Linked DNA regions of Astyanax mexicanus. Each later gene encodes a partner of the first gene's protein in a complex. Links are inferred from orthologs where the notes say so. Each region holds a gene or a part of one and is shown on either strand. Other genes may lie near its edges.

Region 1 (4,122 bases):
TCCTCCTCCTCCACCACCTCGATTCAAACTAAAATTGAAACAGAAATTATTAGGTGAACATAAATAAACCCTCACTAATTCAGACAGAGCAGGAGAACCTGTACTGACCCCTGCATCGGGGCTCGCCTCTGAGCGTCAATCTGTGATGTCACCAGCTGAATGTTCATTGGACGACCTGTGGAAAAAAATAATTACATTTAAAAACTTCGTAATAAGTGACAAGCGAATAAATCTGTAAAAGATTAGCAATTCCAACTAAACCCTACACCAACCATTTCTACCTTTGGGCAATAACACATCTGAACTCACTCAGAAGGAAGAAATGGCTGATTTAGGTTTAAGCTTCTCTGAAAAGGAACAAGTAGAATAAAATCAAAAAGCTCACCATCCAGTGGAACCCCATTGTACTGCTTCATAGCCTTCAGAGCGTCTGCTTTTCTCTCGAAGTGAACGTCTGCGGTGCCGAGGCTCCGCCCCGACCGGTCATAATGCACCGCAGCTTTCTTCAGAGTGCCGAATTCAGCGAAGAGTTCCTTCGGACAAAAACAAGCGAAGTCAGGATTCAAATCCAAGACTGTGCGTTTTAATACAGACCCCCCCCCCCAAATCTACTGCACCACTGTACCTGAATATCTGCGTCTGAGACGCCGAAGTCCAGATTGGACACCAGCAGTTTTCCTCCAGTCTCCACTCCAGCTCCGCCGCCGCCACCACCGCCACCTCCAGCACCGGCACTGTAGCCGTTATCGAACAGGTCATGCTGCCACTTGTCGGGGAGCTGCTTCGGCTGCAACAGACGAAAGAGAACGCACCTGCTGACTTCGGGTCCCGGCTGGCACTGACTGTCCACTCGGCAGGGTGCTGGGGCAAGCAGGGCCCCGCCTCAACCAGGCCAGCGCATCTGGCGCTCACCACGATTTCCAGCCACCCCTGCCCACCCCATCACTACACAAGTACGCCAGTGCAGGGAAAGGAGGCAACAGAGAAAACTACACACTGACTAAAACTGCAGTTTTAAACATTTTAAAAAGAGCCCTCAATAAACTCATACGTATGCAAAGAATAACTCAAACCAAATAAACAGATTAAAAAATGTAAGGCAGTTATAAGAACAGAACGTGACTTTTAAAAGTTATTGCCAAAACCAGTTGGCCCATGATTACGCCCCATTTTTGCCCACATGCTAGGCTACCATCAACATACAGGAAGCAGTTTTAGTCTAAAATAACCATTAAAAACAGTCCTAACCCAACTTTTAACTGTTACTCGTCAAAAACTGTGCCTTTACTACAGATTCACTGAACCATATAGCAACCAAAAGTACCATAAAATGATTTATACAGAAATACATTTTTTTTTTAGAAATCAAAAAGTCATTCAGGTTGTTTACGTAAAAGAGCAGATGTGGAAGTAAATAAGATGTGTTAGTAAAGAGCAGAACACCAGTTACTGCCAGCAAAAGAGTAAAAAATAATAAAATGATTAACTGACTAAGGTTTGCTAGTATTTCCAGGTAAATCTGTGGTAATATGCTAATCAGAATGTGTATATAACTGCAAACCAAACATTACTACTAGAAATTGTATTTATAATACAGATTGTGTTGGTGATTAATATCTGGATTGTGTTTTCTGATGTGATCTCAGGTTAAAACTGCTAAACTAACAAACCCCAGAGTCTTTAAATAAATCTCTGCAGGTCTTCAGAGTTCAGATCTCCAGAAGAAACAGGTGGTGGATTCAGCCAGTCCATCAAAAAATTAAAAATGGAGATAAAAATAGAGTCCAGTGCTGCCTGATTAAAGCTCTTGAGGAACTGAAGAGATCAGCGTCCATTTTGAGAGCACGCCATTTTGACTGAGCTAACTTTATATAAGTGTTTATATAATCTCCTATAAACTCTAAACCTGCAGCAGAGATTAACACAGATTTAGAGATTAAAGAGTCCATTCTTCATAAGGAGAATCCGCGGTGAATCTGATATTCAGGCTGAAATTAAAGCCGTTTCTCTTCATCAGACTCCGAACAAAAGATCCGCACTCTTCAGCTCCCGCAAAAAACACAAAACACCGCCGGTCTCCCCGCTGATCTCCGGGTCTCCAGACCCGCCTGGACGCTGAGAGCAGAACTCTGGAGGAGAATAAAGCAGCAGATCCTCCGCTTCTCCCTTTTTTCTCAATCACTTCTTCACTATTTCTCCATTTCACTGCGCCCCGCTGCTGCTGTTCCAAAATGGCGCCGGCCTGTGTGCCCTAGTTAGGGCGCTTTAGCCACGCTGGATCCGCTCAGCTAAACCCCGTGGGAGAACCGAGGTTTTGGTTTTGGGGGGGAAGAGAGAACAATAATGCACAACACATTTTATAGGAACATTTTTCCGGAGAGGCCCGGGTTCGGGCTGAGCTAGGCCCGGGCCCTGCGGCCGCTGCTGCGGATTCTCCTACCCTGCTGTACGGCGCGGGTCTGCCGCCTCTGCCGCGGCCCAGGCTCTGCCGGCTCCGCATGGGCCCCACCGCTCCTCCGCCCCGGCCTCCGAATCCTCCGGCACCGAGTCTCCCCACGCTGCCGCCGCGGCCCCCGCCGGCTCCCACTCCCCGGCCCCGGCCGCCTCTCCCCCCGCGGCCTCCGCCTCCACCACCGCCGCGCTGCTGCTTATTCTGCTTAATAATGTCATCCAGAGACATGTCCATCTTATCCGCCATGCTGACCCTGCGCTATACTTCTCTTATACTCCGCTATATACTACACTAATACTCAGCTATACTCCTGTATACACCGCAGTATAAACTCTATAATCACGCGCCGCTGATACCCGGATCTATCACCCGCGCGCCCCGCCGACCGGAAACTGCTCCCTGCCGCCCTCACGCGCTTATAAGCAAGGAGACAGTGACGCACTTCCGCACAACATTACTTCCGCCGCTGGGCGGAGACAACTCAACAACAACAAAGATACATATATGTATATACACACATATATAAATACCTCACTAAAACATCAGGCCTAAATCATTAATGCTTTAATTTCCTGTTTTTTAAACCAGTTAATTTATTTCTGTTTAATCTTAACTTTACTCCAACACTGTGACTAAAGTGCAGCAAATCTGACAATAAATAATCTCCAGTGTTTTACAGTTATTTAAACTTTCCCTTTTAATGAGTTCTACTAAGAGAAATCTATCAAAGTTTAAAAACTAACTTCCAACTACCAAAATTTTATCTAGTTTCCTTACTTTAATACATACACAGTGAATAAACATGGAACAGTTCAACAGCACTGGAACTGGGGAACTTTTTTTTACATTGTGAGACGTAACTTCTAAAAATCTAATAATTCAAATAAAGCAGGGGTATGAAAATGTTTTCATCGGTTTTAAAGGAAATAAACACAAATCATACAATGCAAGATTTTCACTAATGCTTTCTTAAAATTCTTTAATTTAAACCCAATATTAACACTAACACTATTCTATTAGAGAGCATATGCGCAATAATTCTGTACTAAATTTCCATAGCAATATTTATTATAGTATATATGTATCATAGTTCAGGTGAGAATTAGAGCTTTTGTGTTTCTGTGGACCAAACTGAATTCTCACAACCAGAGAAAAAAGCCCATTTGCTGTATTATTCTTATTATTGTTACTTTATTCACTTTAAGGTGTTTCAGATAGATGGACTGTTTTACACATCTTATTAAGGCGATCACTCAGAGACTCAGAAAGCCATTGACAATTGATCAGGTGAATGGTCAGCTATTCTCACCTGTGCTCAGGTGAAAAGCAGCCTATTGTTCTTCCAACTGCCTTTACCTCCCCCAGACCAGAACCGATCCCTGCGGCAGTTTCTATAGTCCTGAATCATCATCAGCTAAAATACCGTCTGGGCCACAATTCCAAGTGTTGTACAAGCTTCTGTCTATTAAATATTAATATACACAGTAGAAAAACATTAAAGGAGATTTGTCCAAACTGCACACACACACCTGAGAATTTAATACTTAAAAAGTGACTTTTGTGGACAGTGACCTTCTCTCCTCAGCTGCACGGTTAATTTGTGCTCCTGGAAAATTATAATAAATTATAATATAATAAATCCGGGTCAGTGCGTTTAATGTTAGTTTAAA
Region 2 (4,122 bases), on another chromosome or scaffold:
TTTGTATAAATAAAACTACATATGTTAAGATTTAGGCCGAAATTGAGCTTCCCCTCCTTGAAAGACCAGCATCCGCCACTGATCTGTAGTGAGTCTGTAGTGAACAGAGCAGATCCGTAGGTCATTAGCAGTAGTGAGTCTGTGGTGAGTCTGTAGTGAACAGAGCAGAGCGATCACTGTACAGAAATCAGATCTGCAGGTCATTAGCAGCTCAGTGTTTAAATGGGTTTTATGGGAAAAGTCATTATTTTACACTTTAATGCAAATCAAGCTCTCAGAATAAGCCATTACTGTAAAGTGGAGAAACCCGAGACTTTTATTACTGTAATCAGAAACATCAGCACCACCACACACATATATTTACTCCCAACCAGAACAATAAATACAAACTGGTTCAGTTTCATAATTTATATTAAATCTACATTATTCTAAATGTAATGTATCTCTACATTAATCTAATATTAATATAATGCTCATTAATTAATTAACTAATTTATTTACACATTTACTTATATATTCAATACTTAATTCACTCACCCATTCATTGATTAAATTAATTATTAATAATTGTATTTGAATAAATCTTTCACTTCCCATTCTTCTGCTTCTTCTTCTTCTTCTTCTTCTTCTTCCTCTTCCTCTTCTACTTCTTTTTTAATGTTATTATTAATCATTTATTCACAGAAATGTAATTCATTACACATTTATTTTTTATTCATTCATTCAATTAAATGAATTATTGTTTTATTTCTTAATTAATCTAGTTTTCCTTTTGTTGTAGTAGTAGGTGTTTTTCTTCATAGTTTGAAAGAGTTTAGTACTATATACATATAATGCAGAACAATATAAAACTATTTAAAATAATTAAAAAATAATTTATGTATTTAAGGTGTGTCAAATTTCTTTACGCTTATTATATATTGTTTTATTTTTTACGTCAAAATATGTTATGAACTCATTACATGTTCTATGCTTCTTATATAAATTAATTCATTTTTTGATAATTGTTTTTTTTTCTAATTTCTGATAGCATTTTTTCTCAGAGCCAGCAATGACTTTTATTTTGTAAAGTGTAATTTTCTCGGCGGGCCGGTGGCGCCCCCTGCTGGTGGAGGTGCGGTTTGCAGGCAGTAAATGACCCGGATGTGTAGCAGTAAGGAGGGCTGTAGCGGTAAAGATGTCTCCCGGCGTGTTTAACCTGCTGGAAGCGCGGGAGAAACTCACGGTAAAAACACGCTTTTAGACTCGTTTTTACTGTAGTTTTAGTGCAGTTTTACTCTATAACAGCTGTAGATGAAAAAGCTGTGCTGTTTGGGCGGGTAGCGCCTTATTAAGGCATGTTTTTTCACTGTGTTTATGGAGAGGCTGTAGCTTTTCTGCGTAACTCTCCGGTCCACCTTAAATACCGTCGCTGTTTCATTGTAGTGCTGAGAGGCGATAGACAGCAGCTAATGCTCAATTTAAGGTAGAACGGGTAATTCAAAGAAACGTTGCTGATTCAGATGTTCAGTGTTTATGGAAACTCAAGCTATTGAACTGAATTACTTATAGAGCTGAGCAATATACCGATTTCTTATCCTATCGTGATTAATTTTCTCATCATTTCGACAATATGCTTTTTTTCAAAGAATATCGTTGATGTTTTTAGGGTTTGTTTAAAAAAATATTGATTAGTTTTTTAAATATAGACGATTTTTAAAAGAATATCAGCAATATGCTTTTTTTTTTAGGAAAATCGGCGATATGCTTTTTTTTAAAGAATATCGATTATGTAGGGTTTTTTTTTTTAGAATATAAATATTTTTTTAAACAAAGACGATTTATTTTAATCAACTAAAGTTATATGCTCTTTTTTTAAAAGAACATCAACGATATAACTTTTTTAAAAAAAATTCTTTTTATTTTAGGAAAATCAGTGATAATGTTTTTTAAGAATATCAATGATTGTTTTTTTTTATAGATATGCCTTTTTTAAGAATATCGACAATATGATAAATAATTAAAGTGCACTGTCCCAACTGAAGCTACATTTCATTACAGACTGTAAAAATATCAATTTAATTGGATAATGTACAGCAAAAATATAATAATCACTGTACTGATTATAAAAGAGCATTTGAATATCTGAATAGCAGAATCTACCACTTTTACTTAATTTAGATTTCGTCTCAAAACATGATTATTGCTGTGTATCATTAAAAACTGTTCTTAAATATTGTGATATATTTTTATCTTTTTGCCCAGCTCTGTCAGCGTGTGAAATACATACTACAGTCATGGCTGAAAGTGTTGGTAACTTTTACCAACCAATTTTACCAGAAAATAAAAAAATGTTTTTGCCAGAAAATGACTGCAGATGCACGTTTATACACGTTTTTCTGCTGTTGTTTTTATAGGTTTGTGCCAACCATTCAGTGCTTTATTTTTTGTTTTACATTCCATATAACTAATTCTGACCTGATTTTTTAGAACAAAATGATTTATGAATTTGGCGTCATTTATCTTTCAACAAAATTTTACCTTAAAACATTAAGTCATGTTTTTACAAAAAAACAAAAAAAAAACATGAATGATCTGTAAACATGAATCAGTTTTGAGTTTAGCCTCATTATTCAGAAAATAGCTTGGGCTCTTATGGGTTGCCATTATTATTAATATGAAAAATGGGTAAATAATCTCAATTATTAAAACAGAAATGAAATAACTCCACTGTTTTTTAAGCAGAAGAAAGTTTACACGCTGTGTTATCCAGGTAAAGGGCTCCTCCCACTGAGTAATAACAGAATGGGTAAAACTGAAATCAGCAGAAATGATATTATGCATGTTATGTATGTGTGTTGTATGATTGACAGGGTGAAAGAAGCGGATGAAGTGGACGTTGAATGGACAAAAAAGTCTAATAATTGTATTATTAATGTATATATGATTAAATATAAGTTGTGTATCTCCTCTGCAGGCGGGTACAGGAAGTGCTCTGGGAGCTCGGAGCTGTAAACCCCTCACCAGCGCCTTCAGTCACCTGTCTGGAACGTGAGTTTCTGATTTAGAGTTTAGATTTCTGCCTGAACCCGAACCGAACTCGGGTCCTCTCGGGTCGGGCTCGAGAAAATGATCTTATAAAGTAATTCTGCATACACTATAAAAAACAACTCTATGGTAATATTGCAATATTTATTTTGCTGTTTACTGTATTTACTTATAATTATGTGTTTATAAAATATATGTTTATATAATGAACTAAATATGCTTTTTTTTCTTTGTTGCATGGCTTTATTTATGGTTTTTCATGTCTGTTTTATGATTAAATAAAAACTGTGAAGTATCTAGTAGAGAACCTTCTCCACAATGAGACACAAGCCCGGAAGAAAAATAAAATAAATGAATATTTTTAACTAAAAATAATAAAAATATTGCTTCGATCAAATCAAGTCAAGAGGTTTTTTATTGTCATTATATCTGAGTACAGGTACACAGTGTAGTGAAATTAAGGGTGTACTCACACTAGGCAATCCGAACCGGGCCCGGGCACGGTTACCTCCCAAAGCACGGTTCGTTTGGCTAGTGTGATCGCTCCGAACCGTGCCCGGGCCCGCTTGGAGAGGTGGGCCCAAGCACGGTTCACTTGGACCCGGGCACGGTACAGATGCAGTGTGAGCGCAAACCGTGCCCGGGCACGGATCAAGATGACGTCAGTGATGCGACGCTACTGTAAACGGAGGACGTTTTATACACAATTCTGCATATAATATTTTTGAAAAGGGTTCTAAAGAGCACCATAATGGTTAGTGTTACCCATAATAAATTAGGACTACTATCTACAAGTCCTAAACAACAAACACATTTTATTATTACTTGAGTTTTATGTTTCGCTCCTTTGGTCACTATTTATGTATATAGCAAGTACGTCTCTTACCTTACTGATGAACGTGAATTGTAGTCCGCGAGTAAAGCTGCAAATTTCTCCCTGGACGTCTGCTGCTTGTGTAAAAACCTTCTTACACGTGCAGCACGATTAGCAGTAAATCGTTGTGTTGCACAATCAATGAATCTCTGGTTCAGTTGCGTATTTGCACGCCCAAAACGACTCCAGATAAACAAAAACAACAGTACAATCCTGAACTC
Region 3 (4,122 bases), on another chromosome or scaffold:
AAGGTGTGTGTCCTGTTACGTCTGGCGCAAAACATAATGCATAATTTTAGAAAAATAACATTATACTTAATGTAAAACATGGTGGTGGTAAACAGCAGCAATCATTACCATACAGATGAGGGTCACTATTATAATTTATCATTCAAAACCCTGCTAAAAAATACAGCTCAAGACTCCAGCTGGTCATCCAGAAAAAAAAAACATTCCCTGTGCTAGGATTGCCACCCATTCTGTAAAATATGGAATCGCCCTTTATTTGGCAAAAAATATCTTCAGTAGTTCCATAAATGTCAACACTGCAGACATGTAAGAACACAGAAGAGTCGTGTTATGACTGATTTCATATCTAGTTGTGCTTCTGGCTGAAGATGTCGTGAATTAGGCATAACTTATTTTGTTTTACTGTTGTGGTAAATTAAGAAACCAGTTCAGTTTCTGAATCAGTTTCTCTGATTTAGCTATTTATAGGTTCATGTTTGAGTAAAATTAACATTGTTGTTTTATTCTATAAAATATGGACAAAGTTTCTCCGAAATTCCAAATAAAAGCATTGTCATTTAGAGCATTTATTTGCAGAAAATGAGAAATGGCTAAAATAACAAAAAAGATGCAAATCTTTCAGACCTTAAATAAAGCAAGAAAACAAGTTTATATTCATAAAGTTTTACGAGTTTAGAATTCAATATTTGGTGGAATAACCCTGTTTTTTATCACAGTTTTCATGCATTTTGGCATGTTCTCCTCCACCGGTCTTACACACTGCTTTTGGATAACTTTACACCACTCCTAGTGCAAAAATTCAAGCAGTTCAGCTTGGTTTGATGGCTTCTGATCGTCCATCTTCCTTTTAATTATATTCCAGAGGCTTTCAATTTGGTAAAATTAAAGAAACTCATCATTTTTAATGGTCTCTGTTTTGTGTGTGTGTGTATGTATACATATATACAGTTTATTTAGTTTATATTTTAAAAGTTCTTTATTGCACCCTACACACAAACAGATTATTAAAGACTGAATAAACTGTACTTTTTTTGGAGAATGTATTCACTGCTTTCTTGATCGTCCCTTTACTGTAAACACCAGCACTAAATAAAACATACCCCTGCTGCAGGCACCACACCCCACAGGAGTCACCCAGTGGGGGTCATGGATCAGAGGAGCCGTGGTATGGAAGTAAAACAGTGTCACCAGATTTTGAAATTTAAAAGCACTTGAATTTTTAGCACTGAATTATTTTACATTGAATTATTGCATGTGATTTTTTTGCCTCTGAATTAAACACTTTAGTTTTTCAGTATATCATTTTCACTTATTTTATTTTAATGTAAAAAAATTCAAAAGCAAAAATTCAAGTTTTAAAAATTCAATTAAAATAAATTCAGGTTGCTCAAATTCGACCTGTCAAATTCGACTGCTAAAATACAACGCTCAAAATTCGCTGTCAACATCCGGGACACACAGGATGAGCAATCGATTCAGTCTTCAATCGAGCCAACAACCAGCCAATCACATCACGCTCCGAAGATCACGTGACAGGTAGCGCCTCACGGCCCAGAGCCGCTCAACGCGAGTCACAGCCCCCACCGCTGCTGCTGTGGAGAAGGTGAGTTTAAAACAGCTTAAAACAGGGCATTTACCTCACCACTGTGGCCATGTAATATCACTTAAACGGTGTAGAAATCCTCACTTTAACCACGGTTTGCTCTGTGGTTTGTAAAAATATTAAATTAAGATAGATATCCAGATATACCTTTTTAAACTAAATAAATAAATAAATAAATAAAGCTCCTCTGTTCATTTCAGAAAGCACTTCAAACACGAACACTAGATCAATTATTTATAAATACAGACAGACTGTGTGGAAGATAATTACTACTGTAGAATCTGAGATAGTAACTTAGTTAGCTTAATTATAGCTACCTATCTTGCAAGTTAGCTGTGGGACTGTGCGATTATAGACAAGATACTACCTAGTTAGTGGTTTGTTTAGCAATACCTTATTTACACTTTGCTGCAAAGTATGTTGCTTAGTGTACTGGCCACTGTCTAAATAAATATATTTAGCTATATTACACTTACTATACCCCTCTCAGGCTTGTCCTCTCATATCAAAATGTGGTTGGGAGTTCTAAGACAAATTTTGAGACAAAGTGGTGAAATAAAGTGTAAGTAGTTAGCTGAATTGGTAATATTTGTGTGAAATAAGCCTTTGAATCTGTGATATTATATTAAGGAGTAGTAAGTCATTATTTTCGCTAGGTGGCAGTGTCGCGAAAACATAGGGTTCTAGAACTGCGGTCCTGAAACTGCAGGGTCCTAAAACTGCAGTCTCCGTAATTTCCTGAGGACAGAAATGGCACCTACTTGGTGGAGTGGCCCATATGTATGGAGCTATGAAAGAACAGTACAGAATATATAGTGGGCATCCATCATTTTATTTCTGATTTTTAATTTATAATGGTCATGAGCTAGATGTTTTAGATGGGGCCTGTTGTAAATTGTTTTGTTATTGTGTTATTTATTATGCCCAGTCCACAGAAATAGTATTATTGAAAGTAATCTTTATGTTCATTTATATTTGTAATAATTTCATGTGTATTATTATAAGCCGTATAACCAGTTTATTGTCAGTAAAATCGTTGGTCTGATTTAAATAAACCCCTCTCCTGTAGTTGAAGTGAATCAGTCTGAGGGCGGCGCTGCAGCACTGACCGCGCTCTGAGCCACAGAAGAGGGGAGAAGCCTGTAGTGGAGAAGGAGCTAAAAATGGCTGAAGTCGTAGAACTCCAGAAACTGAAGGTAATAAACTAATTTATTCGAGTTAAACGAGAATTTCGTGCTTATATGGATAAATAGAACCGGTTTTTAATCTGATTTATTAGAGAAGTGAAGGGTATAGCGCTCAGTCCACCTTTAGAAAGCTAGTCAACTAGCTAGCTTAGCTTAGCTAGCTAACGTTAGCTTAGCGTTCAGGCTACACCTCACTGCATGTTTACAGAGCTGTTTAATTTAGTGTATGTTATTTTGTTAGCTGTTCTACATACTGCAAATAAAATATTGAGGAGTTTAAAAGTGGATAAAAAAAACAGACCTAGGTTTACCTTATTCGTCGCTTCTGGGCTGTACTTTAAACATTTGTTAAAAATTTAAGTTCCACCTTAAATTGTATCTAAACTAACTGGTGCTAGCTAGTTTAGCTACAATGTGTAAGTTGGTTTTATATGCTTAAAGTAGTTGAAAATCTGAGAATATAGAGATAAACACACTCTTTACTGGTTAATCAGCTCTTAACCAGCTAAAAAATATCATGGCTAGCTCAAGCGAGTCAGGCTGGTTAAACTGGTTGACCAGTTTTGGTCAGTAGATTAAAAGGTTTGTGTTTTTGTTGGTCTACAAGCTAAACAGCCAGTATAACCAACTTGGGGTTTATTTACAGTGGTAAATTGAACCCATTACTATGAATATGCTTCCTTTTAAGTCATATAGTGGACCTACACGTGTTTAATAGCTCTTGCTGTTTGTTAACTACATAATTATGGTAATTCTAGAAACATCTAAGCCTTCTGTTGGTACTGTCTTTCTCTTTTCACAGCCAGTTTTTTTAAAACAGTGTTTTAAAAAATCACACCTTCTCATTCAAATATTTTCTTCATTTATTTCTTTCTTTCTACATTGTAGATTAATATTAAATACATAAAAATCCTCCACAGTCCCCTTATCTAAACCATGAAATTGAGAGCAACTTTTGTCAAGATACTGAGAAAACTATTCCAGGTGACTCTCCCTCATGAAAAAACAATAGTGTGTAGATCTGTCCTCAAAGCTAAATGTGCTACTTAATTCCTATCCGAATGGGATTAGTTTCTTAGGGGGACGTCTGTGAAAAATACTTCACACTTGTACTCGTGATAAAACTCTTGCATCCGGTCTGCAATTAAAACAATAGGTGAGTTTTTTTGGCTTTCTTGGTCAAGTGTGTGTTTAGTAGCTTCTCCATTTCCACTTTTTCTTTTGTTTACGTAGATCTCCATTGAAACGCGCACCCAAAGTGAAATTAAGCAATAAAATCACAGAGGCCCCCATTAAAAGAGAAAATCCCCCCAGAAACCCCCTGAGAAACTA

What was found.
Region 2: alyref (region 1) and thoc1 share a complex: the UniProt entries of both Homo sapiens proteins name them as parts of the transcription/export (TREX) complex. The link is inferred for Astyanax mexicanus from reciprocal best matches to the Homo sapiens genes ALYREF and THOC1.
Region 3: alyref (region 1) and SAP domain-containing ribonucleoprotein share a complex: the UniProt entries of both Homo sapiens proteins name them as parts of the transcription/export (TREX) complex. The link is inferred for Astyanax mexicanus from reciprocal best matches to the Homo sapiens genes ALYREF and SARNP.

What each region holds. Positions count from the first base shown.
Region 1 is NW_026040069.1:87,039-91,160, reverse strand, and holds the start of alyref (THO complex subunit 4), read right to left. Parts: upstream 2,864-4,122; 5' UTR 2,699-2,863; coding exon 2,441-2,698; intron 788-2,440; coding exon 626-787; intron 534-625; coding exon 386-533; intron 176-385; coding exon 109-175; intron 29-108; coding exon 1-28. UniProt on the Homo sapiens protein: Functions as an mRNA export adapter; component of the transcription/export (TREX) complex which is thought to couple mRNA transcription, processing and nuclear export, and specifically associates with spliced mRNA and not with unspliced pre-mRNA.
Region 2 is NC_064415.1:2,583,183-2,587,304, forward strand, and holds the start of thoc1 (THO complex subunit 1), read left to right. Parts: upstream 1-1,126; 5' UTR 1,127-1,177; coding exon 1,178-1,225; intron 1,226-2,956; coding exon 2,957-3,030; intron 3,031-4,122. UniProt on the Homo sapiens protein: Component of the THO subcomplex of the TREX complex which is thought to couple mRNA transcription, processing and nuclear export, and which specifically associates with spliced mRNA and not with unspliced pre-mRNA.
Region 3 is NC_064431.1:13,310,025-13,314,146, forward strand, and holds the start of SAP domain-containing ribonucleoprotein, read left to right. Parts: upstream 1-1,522; 5' UTR 1,523-1,603; intron 1,604-2,349; exon of another isoform or gene 2,350-2,383; intron 2,384-2,672; 5' UTR 2,673-2,766; coding exon 2,767-2,799; intron 2,800-4,122. UniProt on the Homo sapiens protein: Binds both single-stranded and double-stranded DNA with higher affinity for the single-stranded form. Specifically binds to scaffold/matrix attachment region DNA. Also binds single-stranded RNA. Enhances RNA unwinding activity of DDX39A.